Linked DNA regions of Lepisosteus oculatus. The protein of the gene in region 2 purifies or fractionates together with the protein of the main gene of each other region. This does not show direct contact. Links are inferred from orthologs where the notes say so. Each region holds a gene or a part of one and is shown on either strand. Other genes may lie near its edges.

Region 1 (6,942 bases), on a different chromosome or scaffold from region 2:
GATTACTGGCCCATCAAAAGGAGATCCTGTCTCCGGCAGCGCTGGCTTGGGCGAGACAAAATGAGGTGTCCAAGCTGTGGATGTCATGCACTTTGTTAAAAAAGCATTTAATTGTGGGGTATTTTATATTTTGTTGTTTGTTCTGTACAAGTCTGTTGGATGGTACAAGCTGAGATTGTAGTGGTACATGTGTGTGTGTTTCAGTTAAACACAGTTTTTTGTTCATAAGGAAACTGCAGATTTATTTATTAAATTTGGAGCAGATGGGATTCTAAAATAGGTCCTTCTAATATCTGGAAAAGATCACTTTTTAACCCACAAATGATCAACCCTGTGCACATAATAGACAATACACAAGGATAACATACTACAATGGGGCTGTAGATGTTTCAAAGGGATATATTCCACACCATATCACAACATTAAATGTCTGATTTATCTATTTATGAACTGTATTTATTTTAATAAGCCTTACAATATTACAATTATGATGTGAGATGGCAAGACCAATCATTTAACATAGAGTTGTTCCCTGGGGGGAGAAAGACGATTAAATTATTAAAATCAACATGCCTGTACATTTGATTGTCTTGAGACTGCAGGGCAGCAAAACTATAATCCTGAGAAGCAAGCAAAATAATATATAGTGTTCATAAGGGGACAATGGTTGCTATTCTAAAAGGATACAATAAAGTCTTCCTGTTGCTTTCATTTTTTTCTCATAATCCATTTTCTTAAACAGTAGTTTACCTTGTAAGAAAATTACTTAAAGCACTCATAAATAAAATTATACCGCTACTAAAGTCAGGAAAAATCACTCTCCAGCAAAACAGTTTAACTGTAGACAGCAAATGGCTGATATATAGGAAGTGATATGCTGAAAGAATGAAACATTATTATTATTAGCTATTATATATTTGTGTCCAAATAATTTCCCAAATCAAGAAACCTTGCTGGAATACACACAAAGATGTGTTACAAGTATGCCCCTTGAAACGCAAGCTTGTGAGATATAAGAACAGACGCTTGCCAGAGGAAGTGACACAAACACACAAACCGTTGGAGCCCAGAATGAGCACTGGTAACTCTGTTGGCCAGAGCCAGCAGAGTGTTGGGATAGGTGGAGCAAAAGCCTTGGAAAGAGGAACCATCCATTTAAAGAGAAGCTAATTGATCATCCATTCAAGCCAATCCTGGAGGCACAAAGCAAAATGAAGAGAGGTATTCAGACCCAGCGTGTGTCGTAAATGCGATGAAAAACATGGAGGACCGCCAAGGCAAACCAAGAGACTGCAACGGACACGGCCTGACCTGGACCTACTGCTCCGACCAGCTGAGCTCCTCAGAGGGATCTCTGAATCCCTGGGCAGGACTCAGGTCAACTGCTTCACAAGCCTTTAACGTCACGCCATCGGGTAGAACAGGAGTGTAACAGTAACTTTGAGAGACAACACGGGTGCTTCTAAGCCCAACTGCCTTTAGGAAAACCGTCATTTTTAGTGGTAGTCCTCAGGCACGGCCAGTCCAGGAATTTTCAGGGTGGCGTGGGCTGGGCAGCTGGGTGATCACACCGCGAAAAGTGTGAGTGAACTGCTACAGTACAGTATGTGTGGCTGATGTGTCGAGATCTTGCACATCGCTACCATCCTGGATAACAGGTGGCCCTGCCGACAGGCGAGAAAGACCGTGTAAGAACGGGCCAACTGGACAGTCATCACCGGCCGCGAGGGCTGCGATCCGTGTGGGGGAGGCAGGCGAGCACAGAACACCAGAAAGACATGCAGCCGAGCTCATTCCGAAACATGGGCAGCCGCCGAAAAGCAGACTAAATCTGTGGCACAAGCATGGTACAAACGCAGTAAAACAGCGGAAAAAAACGCCACCCACATTTACAGGATGACCAGCAGTCGGGAGGTTGGTTCCCAAAGAAACAGGGGTTATTTTCAACGTTTGGGGACCTAAGACTCTTCCCTGGTCATACTGTATATTCCTAATAATGAAGATAGACACTTAATAAAAACGCTGCCAGTAAAAACAAAATGTGGCACGTTGCTAAAGTGAAAGAGGTATCAGGTCAAAAACGTGTTTACCCTGCTGTCCAAACACAATTTTTTTAGAAAACGAGGCCTTGCCTTGCATGTACAGTATTACTCACTGCCGACAGCAGTGCCGTTTTTACCTTTTACTAATTATAACCTTAACATGACCCCCCGAGACAAAAGGCAGAGTAAATTAACACTGCGTGGAAGAGAAGTAACGCGGAGTGGTGCCGTGCCTTTGTGGCCGTGTTTCTCCCTTCGCCTGCTGTAGGACCAATAAAGTTGACAAAATCGGAGGAGGATGGTTTCTCTGCTTCCATGAGAATACCATCCCAGATAGGGCTTGGGAACAGTGGTGTCGTAGGCTGAGTATAATTCGGAATGTATGTTTATATGAACAGTTTACAGTATATTTGCAGCATATATATGTGCACTATTCATATATATATGAATATGCAAGCAAGCAAAAATATCCCATTGAATAAATTAAAAGTTCTCCGTTTGAGAGCCCTTACATTTATGAAGGGCCACCTCTGACAAATTATCCCATCATATGCTCCGGTTTTGCCCATTTAACGCACACTGATGTTACACGTGTAATCAACAACAAATCATTAAGGCTCTTCCGTATCTCTTGATCAGCTAGAAGAGGGTGATTTATCACTGGTATTAGGAAACTGGAGTCGGGCAATGGTCTGTGTGCGCGTTTGTTTGGTTTTTTTGGGAGTATGGGTAAATACTGATGAAAGGGGGAGATGTACTGTAATCTAATGGGCACTGCAGCTTTTAAAGGGATCCCTATGACTTTAACAATGAGGATGTGCCAGGCTACAACACGGAGAAAGAATACTAGTTTCAAGCTCATCGGGGGCTAGAATCACTTCACATTCATTTCGACAAAACGTTGTGCGCTTACGTATCGATGTGTTGTTTCATTTAACGACGGGACTGAGGCATATGAGCAATTAAACGTGTTTCACTGACCGTGGTTTTAACTGGAACGTAGAGCACTTGTTTCTCCCCTCCGCTGATCTCATCTGGAACACCAAGCTGAAAGCCCTTGGACTTTACCCAAAATTTAAACTTTGCATTGTCTGTGGAGCTGGACTCGGATCCGTTCAGAAGCTGTACAATCCGGTCGTATTTTTTACGGGTCACCGTCTTCGTCTTCCCGGAATCACCATATGTCCTGAGGCACCAGTCCTGAAACTGGCGATACATGTCCCGATCTCCCTCCATTATCCTGAGCAGGGTACAGAAATGGTCCTCGCCGTTGTCCCTTTTCGCCTTCCTTATCCTCCGACTTTGCACCTGTTCGCCTGTTGTCGGTTATACGAACAAATAAATAAATATATATCCCTCAGTCAAGCCGATGGCGCCTTGAAATGCGGGTCGGAGTTTCTAGATTTACCTTGGCGGCTGGGCTGATGTCGAGGTCCCGCATCCAATCTCCCCCCCCCCACCCACCCCTGTTAATTTTCAATTCATCGAGATCTCCCAGGGCAAGACAATCGGATCCCGGTTGCTTATAGTCTGTCTCTCTTCCATACGTGACCAGTTTCAGTATTCCGCACGCAGGACAACGCCACTTTTTTTTCGGGATATAATGTGCCCCCCCCCCCCCGGGAAATTCCAATATATTCCACCTTCCCGGTCTCTGTGGTATTTCACACACCGGACTCTACCTGGCATCGACCGGATTCAACAGACGGAGAGAAATTAGTTCTCGGTTGTCTCTTTTTCTCTCTGCCCCCTCTCCCTCCCGCAACCCAGCGCTGTTTTGTCCAGGTCTGTGCCTCTCCCCAGTAACCGTGGAAAAAAAAAAAGAGAAAGAAATACGAGCCAGGTCAGGACTCTGCGTTTTAAAACGGACTGGTTGGCGATGCTTGTTGGCCTGGAACCAAAACAAATACTCAATTTAATTAATAATTATAATAGCAGTTGCTCGGGCCTTTCATAGTATCCTGTACTCCTTTGACCAGAAGCGGAGTTGGAGCTGATGGATGTTTGGCTCTTGAATGAATGGAGCTCTTTATACATACAGAGAATATTTGACTCCCCAATCTGGAATACAAAACTAGATCTGTTCATTTATTGAGTAGGGGGAGAAAAAAACCCCACCAACAACAACACACACACAAAAAAAAAACCCCATGTCACAACCAGATGTAAACGCAAATCCTGTATCGATCTGTCCGCTGTTTCGTGAAGCTTTCGGACGTGGACGTCTGCCCCCCGACTCCAGCGTCTTTATCCTCCCAAGCACACGACGGGGGCTGTGTTTCTCGCCTGCACCGCTCCGGAACCCGAAAAGTCTTCCTATCCCGCTGTCGGCTCCGTCCGTCTCCTGGACGCGTCTGTCTGTGTGTGTGTGTAGCGCCGGGGTCCACACGGATGTCACCCTGTTCGGCCAGCCCTCCCCAACCCACCCCTGCCCATAAATTGGAGCCCCGTCCTTTGTGAGGAACGATCTACCTGGCGGGGTCCCAAAGCAGGTCAGTGCCACCGCTCCTATCCTCCGGCTCGGGAATCTGTTATCCTCATTTGAAGAAGTGAAAATACGAACGGTCAGCGGGTTTTTGTTTCTTTGCACCGTCTACCAGGACCCCTCCACTATATATATTTTGAAATGTGCGAGTACGGTGTCTCTTTCAGCGGCACTAAATTACGTGAAATGCTCGACGGCCGGACCAGCGAAATATCCCATGCCTCTTTCCCGCAGTCCTCAAAATTCCTCTCTGGAATTGAAATTATATAACTGGAGAAAGTGATGGAGCATTTTTATTGGATTTTTTGGGCTTCCTGGCTTGATCCCTTGAGGCGGCTCCCCATCCCCTTGTGCGGCAGCTACCACGGCAGGATTGTAGGCTCCCCTCCCCGTCTCCGTCTCCGGATTGTGCAGGAGGTCTGGCGGCGGCTCCAGCCGGGACTGACAGCACGGGCTGAGCGAGCGCTCGGCGCAGAACCTCTCTCCTCGAGTTCTCAGCCATCTGATTGGCTGCCGGGACAAAAGTTTCTGTGGAGACGGCCGAGTTGTGACGTCACAGAAAGAATTGTCCCATTTAGGGATCCAGGGCAGTGCGCATGCTTCTCCTGGCAGGTTGGTTCGTGGGATCCCTCGTGCGAGGCAGGCAGGCAGGCAGGCAGGCAGCACTGCGCTGGCAAGACAGCGAGGTGGCAGAAAGGAGCGAAAATGCAGGTGAATTATTCCAGCCTGGTTGCTATGGCGATTAATCTGCATGGCGCGGGAAGCCAGCTACATCGTACTGCTGGCCCGGGTCACGAGAAATGCGGGTTAAATGGCCAGTTGATCTAAAATGTACACGATGATCAGTAGGGACCGCCGGTCCAGGGTCTTTATAAAACAGAGAGTAGCTAATATTATCCAAATAAGCACAAAGGTGGATAGATCACTTTTAATCTGCCGATTTGGGACCGTGCTTTGGGAAATGTGCTGGGTTTACAGTTTTAAATAGTGCAGAGCTGGAAGGCGAAAGGCGATGGTTCACTGAGAAATTAATTTGCCAAAGGCTGTCTTTAAATGCAGTTTTAGTGGATGGAGGAGGAGCATATCGGCGAATTTGGAGTCAGAAAACCGCCTGTAATGTTGTCACCCTCAATGATGTATTATTTGGTTTTAAAACGTGAGGAAAATGTACAGTAAGTGTTGGTGATGTCTCACCGATGGGCGGGTGGCGCAGTGTTTATCTCTGTGGCTCTGGGTTCAGTGCCGGACTTTGGAAAACTGTCCGCGTGGAGTTTGTGTGTTCGGTGGGTTTCCTCCCACTCTCCAAAGACACGTGGGGAGGTGTTAGGGAGCGTCTGCCTTCAAATGGACTGACATCCCATCCTGGATGTATCCTGCCTTCCTTGCTGGGACGGGGTCCAGCTCCCCAGCGGACCCCGGATGGGCAGAAGCAGTGAGAAAACGGCTGGGTGGTGATGTTTTACAATCCATCTGCTGAGGCTGAATGGCATCCATCATCTCTCGTCAGTCTGCCGAATGGAAATGGAGTAAGTCACGAATGTGTGTTAGATCAGCTCATACAAGGTAACCTTCACCCAAAATAACTTTGTCATAACACCGGAAGTTTCTCCCGTTTAACCCTCTATCATTTAATACCAGCTTCATTCATCGCTAGACATTTCCCCCATCGCTTGTGATAAGGCTCTGGGTGTACATTCGTCATATAATATATAATAAGCCACAGACTACATTTGAGGCTGTCCTACAGCTGGGACAAGAGCATATTCCCTTGCAACATGGGGAAGCACTGCTGTGTGTCCTGATCCTGCGTTGTGAATCACAAAGGTCTTGGGGATATTGATTAAGTTGAATTAAGATTAAATTCGTGTCAGGAATTTTGTCTGTATCACAGGGCCCTACAGTACATACCGTGAGGCTGACACTGGCGTTAATATCTATCACCCCAAGACAAAGTACACTGTTCCCTTCCATTTTTACATCAGATATCTTCACTTTATTTTTTGCTTTTGGTAGAGCTACTGATTGGCTGTGTTTTAACTGTCTGCAGACAGTATCCTTCCATGGTACGGCCCTGATTGAATTGAATGAAATGCTTTGGGGATTAATGCTTTGGGGTGCTCTGTGCCAAACGTCCTGCTCAAGACGATCGGTGAAAGTGTGCACACTTTACAGACGGCTGTGGTCAGAGTCTTGCCCTTGTCCGACCCTGGGGGTAGGTGCCCGGCGCTTCTCTTTTGCTTTTCTCCCGTGCCACGCTCTGCCCTCACTTTGTGTAGAGTGTAAAAATCACCTTTCCTCTCCCTCTGTGGACTACTGGTCTGTTTTATCCCAATACCACCTCTCCCTCGTGCGGCAACACAAAGCTTAGGCATTCCCAAGATCCCTCTGCACAGCAATAGTTTGAAACTGCTACAG
Region 2 (7,007 bases):
CTGTTGGCAGCACCATCAGGGTTTTCATCACTTGTTCCCACTTTGGCCATGTCCTTCAAGCCTCCTCCTTGTCAAAGTTTGTAATCCTGTTGTTTTTTTTAAAGGATCAAATCAACTCCGGAGTCTTGTTGCAAAAAAACAAAACTTCACATACTCTTCATGAAACACCTGGAGAAATTAAAGAGAGACTGATTAATGCACAGAAGGACGTGACCCTAATTTATCATTAACATGTACTGTGGCACAAAAAAAGACACCCCAAGGCAAACAGATTCTCATTTCTCAAAACCACGTTGTCCACACACAAGCCCTTCAAAAAAGCTCTCAGGATTCCTTTTCATCAAGAGTTTTTGGCATGTTTTGTTTTTTAACTGTAGGAGTAATAAGATATAAATGTTACTGCTCTTTGTGCTCTGCAAGAGCTTTATTGTTGGTCTGCTTCCCTATGAATCCTGAATCTGGCAATTCCCGAAATGTTAGGAAGTGATCCAGGGAGGGAACTTATTTAACTTATCCCCCAGTGGTGGGGGACTAAGTTTTTTTTTTTTAAAAGCTATTGTTCTTTGTTTCACAGAGGTATCTGAAAGTATGCCAATGAAAGAATCAAGACTGTATAAACACTGCTGTCATTGAAAACAGCCTGACACACAAGGCCATTCCTAATATGACTCAATACACACTCGATACAATATCACCTGTTTAGACCTTCCAGTTCTACATAATGAAAAACCGAAAACTTTATAAAAGCGTTTTTTGACGCTTGTGATGACAAAACACAAGCTATTGTCCCCTATGCGGCCTGTCTAGACAAGACCACCGGCCGACTCCTGGGACAGACCAAAGGCATTTGAAAAACTGCTTTCTGGAAGGAATCCAGTAATGTACTCTGCACAGTAATTAAGTCATTTTCTGATTTGTTTGGGGGGTTGGTGGAAAGCTCCCATTTAATTTTGTCACATAAAACAATTCATACTTATTGTTTGGCTAGATTTACCATTCAAGACTATGCCATTAGTGAAACCAGGCAGAGATCACCCCCAGCTATAATAATGTAGTGTGGGCTCTTCAGTTAAATGCTTCACCAGTGCCTAGTGACCTTGAGCAAACACAAAACACTCTACCAGTACCTCTTTTACTTATGGTAATGAAGGCACATCTATGCTCACACATTTGAAAGCACAATAAGCTTAGAATACCTAAAGACCTCAGCCTTGTAATGAGGCAGTGTGCGATGAACCCCAAAAAATATTTTTAAACACTTAACAATACTTTATTTTTAATTTTCAATACAAATAGTATAAATACACAAATAACCAGACTTTCAAATAATGGAAGACAAAGCATAAAAAAAGTATTAGAAGTCTACTGGGAAAACACAAATGATATGAAAAACAACTAAAAAAGAAATTAACACCTCATAGCTGTTCATGAAAGCACCCTCACCTAACTGTGCGGACATTCTATGTTTAAATTTATAATTAATGTAAAAGAACTAAATTTAATTATGAATGCACTTAAACCTATCTTTAAAAATACACAATATTTTCATTCGTTTTTAGTGGCAATAATCGTAGTCCATAAAACCAATGTCTCACGAGTTATATCGAAACGTCAACAATCTGTTGCAGGAAACAAATTTCCACTCATTTGATAATACGTTGCCGACAAAACGGCGAGCTAAACAAAATAAACTCGGTTCCATAACGTATGGGACACTACTGTGTATCTGGATGTAGAAGTCACATTGTTACAGAGACCGCACTTTCACTAGGCAAGCCGAGCGCCCACGTCGTCAACATTCTTACTCTGGGAGGGGCTGGCAGTGCTCTCAGATCCTTGTCGAGCCCATTCAAGCTCGCCGGTGACTGGCATCGCAGGAAAGGCTTTTCCGTGCATGGCCAGAGGAATGGAGCGAGGTTACACAAATGTCAACACGGCTCAAGCTCGACGTCAAATCGTACCTCTCAACCATTTTTAATCGCAGTTCCCTAAAAAACGCCCAATACAAAACAAGGTAGTCTGAGCAGGCGGAGAAGTCAATCGTCACCGCAGGTTATTAAGGGGCTTTGACTCAAGTTTTAACTTTGAGCTCAGCACAGGCGAAACTCAAGAGCTTTTGTGTTAATCATAAAAACAGGAATTAAGGTACTACTTTACAACAGCAAGCCCCACTAAACACATTATTCATTATTCGGAATACATAACGCTAACAGCAGGTAGTTCCTGCGATGATCCTAATACAAAAGCGCACTGCTGTCACTCTTCGAACGTTTGGTGATTTTTTGCACAAAACTGTTATGAACAAATATGTCTCCACAATAAACCAAATTGTCAACTTTCAACCCCAGTGAAAAATACATATAAAAGTGTTTCTCACTGTTGGCGGGCTCTATTTAATATTATAAAGGACTACGACTCTTACGTTCGTTATTTCTAATCTTAAGGTTTCCGTTGGTCCGCCTTTAGATTTCTTAACTAAGCTACCCTTACTTAAAAACGATCGGTACTAGGAATGCAACAAAATGCAACAAGGAAAATATACACATCTCCTTAAATGACTTCTAAATTTTACTGACCTTAGCCTGATGGAAAACTAGAGGTAACTTAGAAATACTTGAAATAAATTTAACTGAAAAGTACAGAGTAAAGCAAGTTTTGTTTAGAACAAGACCTTTACCTTAAGACATTTCCAAAGAGCAGCTACGCAAAACAGAGGATGATACTAGCCAAGTTCTCCACATACATAACCATGCACAATGCAAATATCCGTCCCTGGTTTCCACAACAGCAATAATTTTGTAAAAAAAAAATACTTGAAAGTGCATTTAAGGGTGCTTTGCAAAAAGTCGTTTCGTCTGACGTTTGAATTCCAGATACTTTCACACTTTTTTAATAAACAGAAAAATACTACCGCTTGCTTTCTGCGAGTTGGCCACAAACTTTGTTCCAGTTGCTCCTTTCCCCTGCCTCGCGCTGCAGTTACAGCTCAGCTTCTGGAATATGGCGCAGCCAGTATCACGTGACTGCGCCTTCAGTCGCTCAGCTGGTCCCCGGACTCCGGACACGGACTTAAGGAGAGCTCACCAGACTCACCAGTAACGTTTGAGGAGGCTGGGCTCGCTTTTCATCCTCCTCAGTGAACTTGATGGGGATCAAACAGTACTCCCCTTTCTCGTTACCAACGCCACGTCAGTCGCTGATAATATATTATCACTTAAGAGTTCACAATTGTTTGCTTTTTGTACTTAGAACCGGTATTTTCGTTAGTGTTTACTTAAGTTGTAGCAGAAAATGACGAAAAGTTACCAATAAAAGTGTTTTAAGTTAGCTGGTTTTAGTTGTGACAGTTCGGGTTTTGCCCCTTGTTGACAAAACCTTTGTACAGAAGGCTAGAAATTCTGGAGTTTTTGTCTTTGTTATTATTGTAAATTGCGTTTTGAATTGTACTTCGTGAATGACCTACTTTTCAGCTGTGTATATACAATATATAACTTCGCCTAATATTAAGTAAAGTTCTTTGACATATCTCACTCTATACAATGGTGCTCTATCTTAAAACTATATTTTCAATTAGAAATATATCTGGCAGTAGTACAGACAGATAATACATTACTGTCTGTATTTAAAATTTAATAGTACAAAACACTCATCAGTAAACTAAATAACAATGATATGTTCATTAGCTGAAACATTATTGGGGAAAGTTTTTTCTTGAGTAACCCTAACTGAATCTGGGTTAGTCAAAATATATTTGGTTTTTTTGGTGGTTTTCATTTTTAATTCTTATGACATCCACTTTACTCATATCGTTTTCTTTATAACTGGTGTTACAAATCAAAATACAATTTTAGTTGCTAACACCTTCAATATAATTTCTCACCCTCTGACAACACCATTCAGTAGCATGGCACTGTCCTGCTTGAGGATCATGTAATCTTATCATTGTTCCCTAAAGGACTAACATTTGGTGAAGAAGTAAATCACTTAAATTACTGTCACAACTCTGACAAATTTTAGCTGTAAACAAAGAATCTCTGAAGTGTTGGAAATCAGTCAGAAGAAACATCCCCTCATTTGGTTTTCCAAATAGTTCTGGTGATGGTATTTCAGAATAATCTTTGGGTGGTTTGTTATTCCATCCAACTTCAAGCTGCTTTGTCCAATTCACAGTCACAATAGAACTTATCCCGACAACCAAGGGGTGCAAACACAGACATGCACACACTCACTCCAGGGCCACATTTCCAGGGCCAATTAACCTACCAGTATGTTCGTGGACTGTATGAGGAAACCGATGCAAACATGAGGAGAACATACAAACTCCAAGCAGACAGTGCCCGAGGTCTGTAATTGAACCCAGGACCCCAGCACTGCAAGGCAGTAATGCTACTGGTTAGTTTTTGTTTCCCCCAGAAAGCAATATCAGAAACAAGACAACCCTCCTCTATCAAAAACAGAATTCCTTTCCTCTGAGGAAAATAATGTCATTCACTCTTAATATTATACCTATTGTAAATGGTGGATTGCATCCACTCAGAAAAATTCCATTAATTATATGTTGTTTGTGGACAGAAAACCAGTTACATTAATTGGACCAAGAATGGGTCAAGGAGCACTGGTCCAGGGGTCCCAGTCATTCACTAAGCTGGGTATTGAAAGGACAGGTGTTGGAGGAGGTTTATCTCTGAAAAAAGATGGGAGTGTCTTCACTGAAACATGTTTCCACACTTCTGGTGAATGTTCAGACATCCTTGCATGGTGTTGTCAGATGTCTCTCTTCCCTGAAACTCACACTGGGAGACAAAATACATACTGGGCCAGCATTGCATCTCTGTGTATTCAGAATTTTTCATGAAACTATATCTTCATTTTAGCTTGTTTAGCTATTTAGCACTTTTATGTTATTATTTAAAATGCTGTATTTTGTCATTTATTTGCTTTTTTACTGATGATAATATAAAAAGAAAGTAAACTGTAAATGTTCCCAAACATTGCCCAACATGCATCAAGTGATGCATGATGCATGTTCTGAAAGTGAAGAACCATTCTGTGAATCCTTAATGTACTGAATCCCAGTTTCCTCTGGAAGAAGCTTGCTGTATTCTGCAATGACAGACTTAAAGAAGAAATTGTATAACTGAAGTGTGGTCAAAATGCCATTTTTGGAAAGAAAACAACCTTCAAATCAATGTTACATGAAAATGCTGTGGTATTACTATACCCCTTAATTTACTGAAAAAAGAAGCACTTGGCTATACACATATATTTGAGAAGAATTTAAGAAATTACATTGTGTTTATTTTTTTGCAAATCATTGGTGACACTTAATAACAGACTTAATAAATCATTATGAAATTTTAATATTTTACAATTCAGTTTATGATGTAAGTACATGTAAAATAAAAAACCTTTTAAAAACATCAGATGAAAGCCTTATATTTCAAACTGTTCTTTCATCTGAAAGGAAGCAGCAGCTGCCAAAACTCACAGAAGCTGCAGTTTAAAATATGCTACACTTTAAAACTAGAAAACTGTTAACAGTTGAATAAATAAGAAACAGAAAATGTGCTAAGCTCTCTAGTGCAAAGAGTTCTCTATATCTTTTAAGAGTAAAAGGAATAATTTGGCGTAGGTAAAGAGTAAACTGCTTTTTAAATTATATTGTTTTGGCATTACTGTATACTGTTTTGTGCTTTGCTTTAAAAACTTATTTTCATCATAAGGTATCCAGTGAGTGAAGTGAAGGCATCCTTTATTTAAAAATATCCTGTTTTTTAAAAAAGAAGTGGAACATAATAATAATAATAATAATAATAATAATAATAATAATAATAATAATAATAACAATTCAAGGCTTGTACTGCAAGCTGCCTGAGTGACCACTCTACCAGATCACAACCCCAGGTAGAGTACAGAATATTAACATAAATGCCTTAATGCTTCAGTTTATAGTTTATAAAAGTGCATAGTTTATATAATAAAAAACAAATAAAGCAATGTCAAGAGAGAAACATCATACAGAGCTGATTCATTTCAGACACTGGAAATGTAGATCTTTCCGTAAAAGGGCTTGGACGTTTTCCTCAAGCTCTCAGCTGACATTCTTCTTTGTATGTGGTTTTTCATATGGTACAAAGAGCAGGTTTTATTTTCACAAATTAGCGCTCCACTATACACTCCACCAGGTGTAGGGTGACAGCTCAGGTAAACGGAGAAGGGAACATTTGTCAAAAGATTGGAATGCCTGTCTGCATCCTAGCTGCCCTACAAACATCACGGCCAGGCGACTGCTGAACACATGCTGTGCTCTTTTAAACTTTCACAACAATATCTATTGGAGAGGCACTGAGTATTCAGATTGAATCCTTCTTTTCACCGGCTATGAAAGCAACGTAAGGCAGATACTTTGAAGTAAAGAGAACATAAAGATAAACGTTTGACATGTGTTAAGAAAATGTCACAGTGCCAGGAGGGAAAAAGTCATTTTAATCTATACATTCAAAGCACAATAACCTCATTGTAAGGTTCAAGCAATGTGGAATGTTTAGGCCCATGTCCTGAGTCTTCTGATTTCCCCTACAATTTAAAGGGGAATTCCACCAGAAGCCAACATAATCATCAAGTGTAGGGCATTACACTTTCTAATAAAAATATTATAAAGTTAATATCCAATACTGTAAGAAAGTGTTGCATAGATCTCAATTATTATCAGCATTGCTATAGTTTGAATTTATAATTTGAATAGTTTGAAGCTTTTCCACATTGAGCAACTTCAGTTACATTTGAGCGGAACTTTACTGAAGAAATTAGTCTTTCCTTATGATTTTGAATTTCTCATACAACTGATATGTTAAGATCGAATTAAATGTATGAAGCATGAATTAAAAGACCTTCTGGTGTTTTAGTAAATCAAGCTTGTCTACTGGTATAGCAGTTAGAATGATTACATATATTTTGAGTTCATTTTGATATGGATTAAAACAGATTAATTTACATCCAAAGGGTTT

The links. The genes of interacting proteins can lie anywhere in the genome.
Region 1: the proteins of utrn (region 2) and dtna purify together in Homo sapiens (affinity purification with mass spectrometry; 3 studies listed by BioGRID and IntAct, with this or other methods). This does not show direct contact. The link is inferred for Lepisosteus oculatus from reciprocal best matches to the Homo sapiens genes UTRN and DTNA.

What each region holds. Positions count from the first base shown.
Region 1 is NC_090701.1:46,696,220-46,703,161, forward strand, and holds the start of dtna (dystrobrevin alpha), read left to right. Parts: upstream 1-3,932; 5' UTR 3,933-5,238; intron 5,239-6,942. Other genes in the region: nucleolar protein 4, read right to left, coding at 3,024-3,278. UniProt on the Homo sapiens protein: May be involved in the formation and stability of synapses as well as being involved in the clustering of nicotinic acetylcholine receptors.
Region 2 is NC_090697.1:51,303,707-51,310,713, reverse strand, and holds the start of utrn (utrophin), read right to left. Parts: upstream 3,016-7,007; 5' UTR 2,912-3,015; intron 2,889-2,911; exon of another isoform or gene 2,678-2,888; intron 169-2,677; 5' UTR 51-168; coding exon 1-50.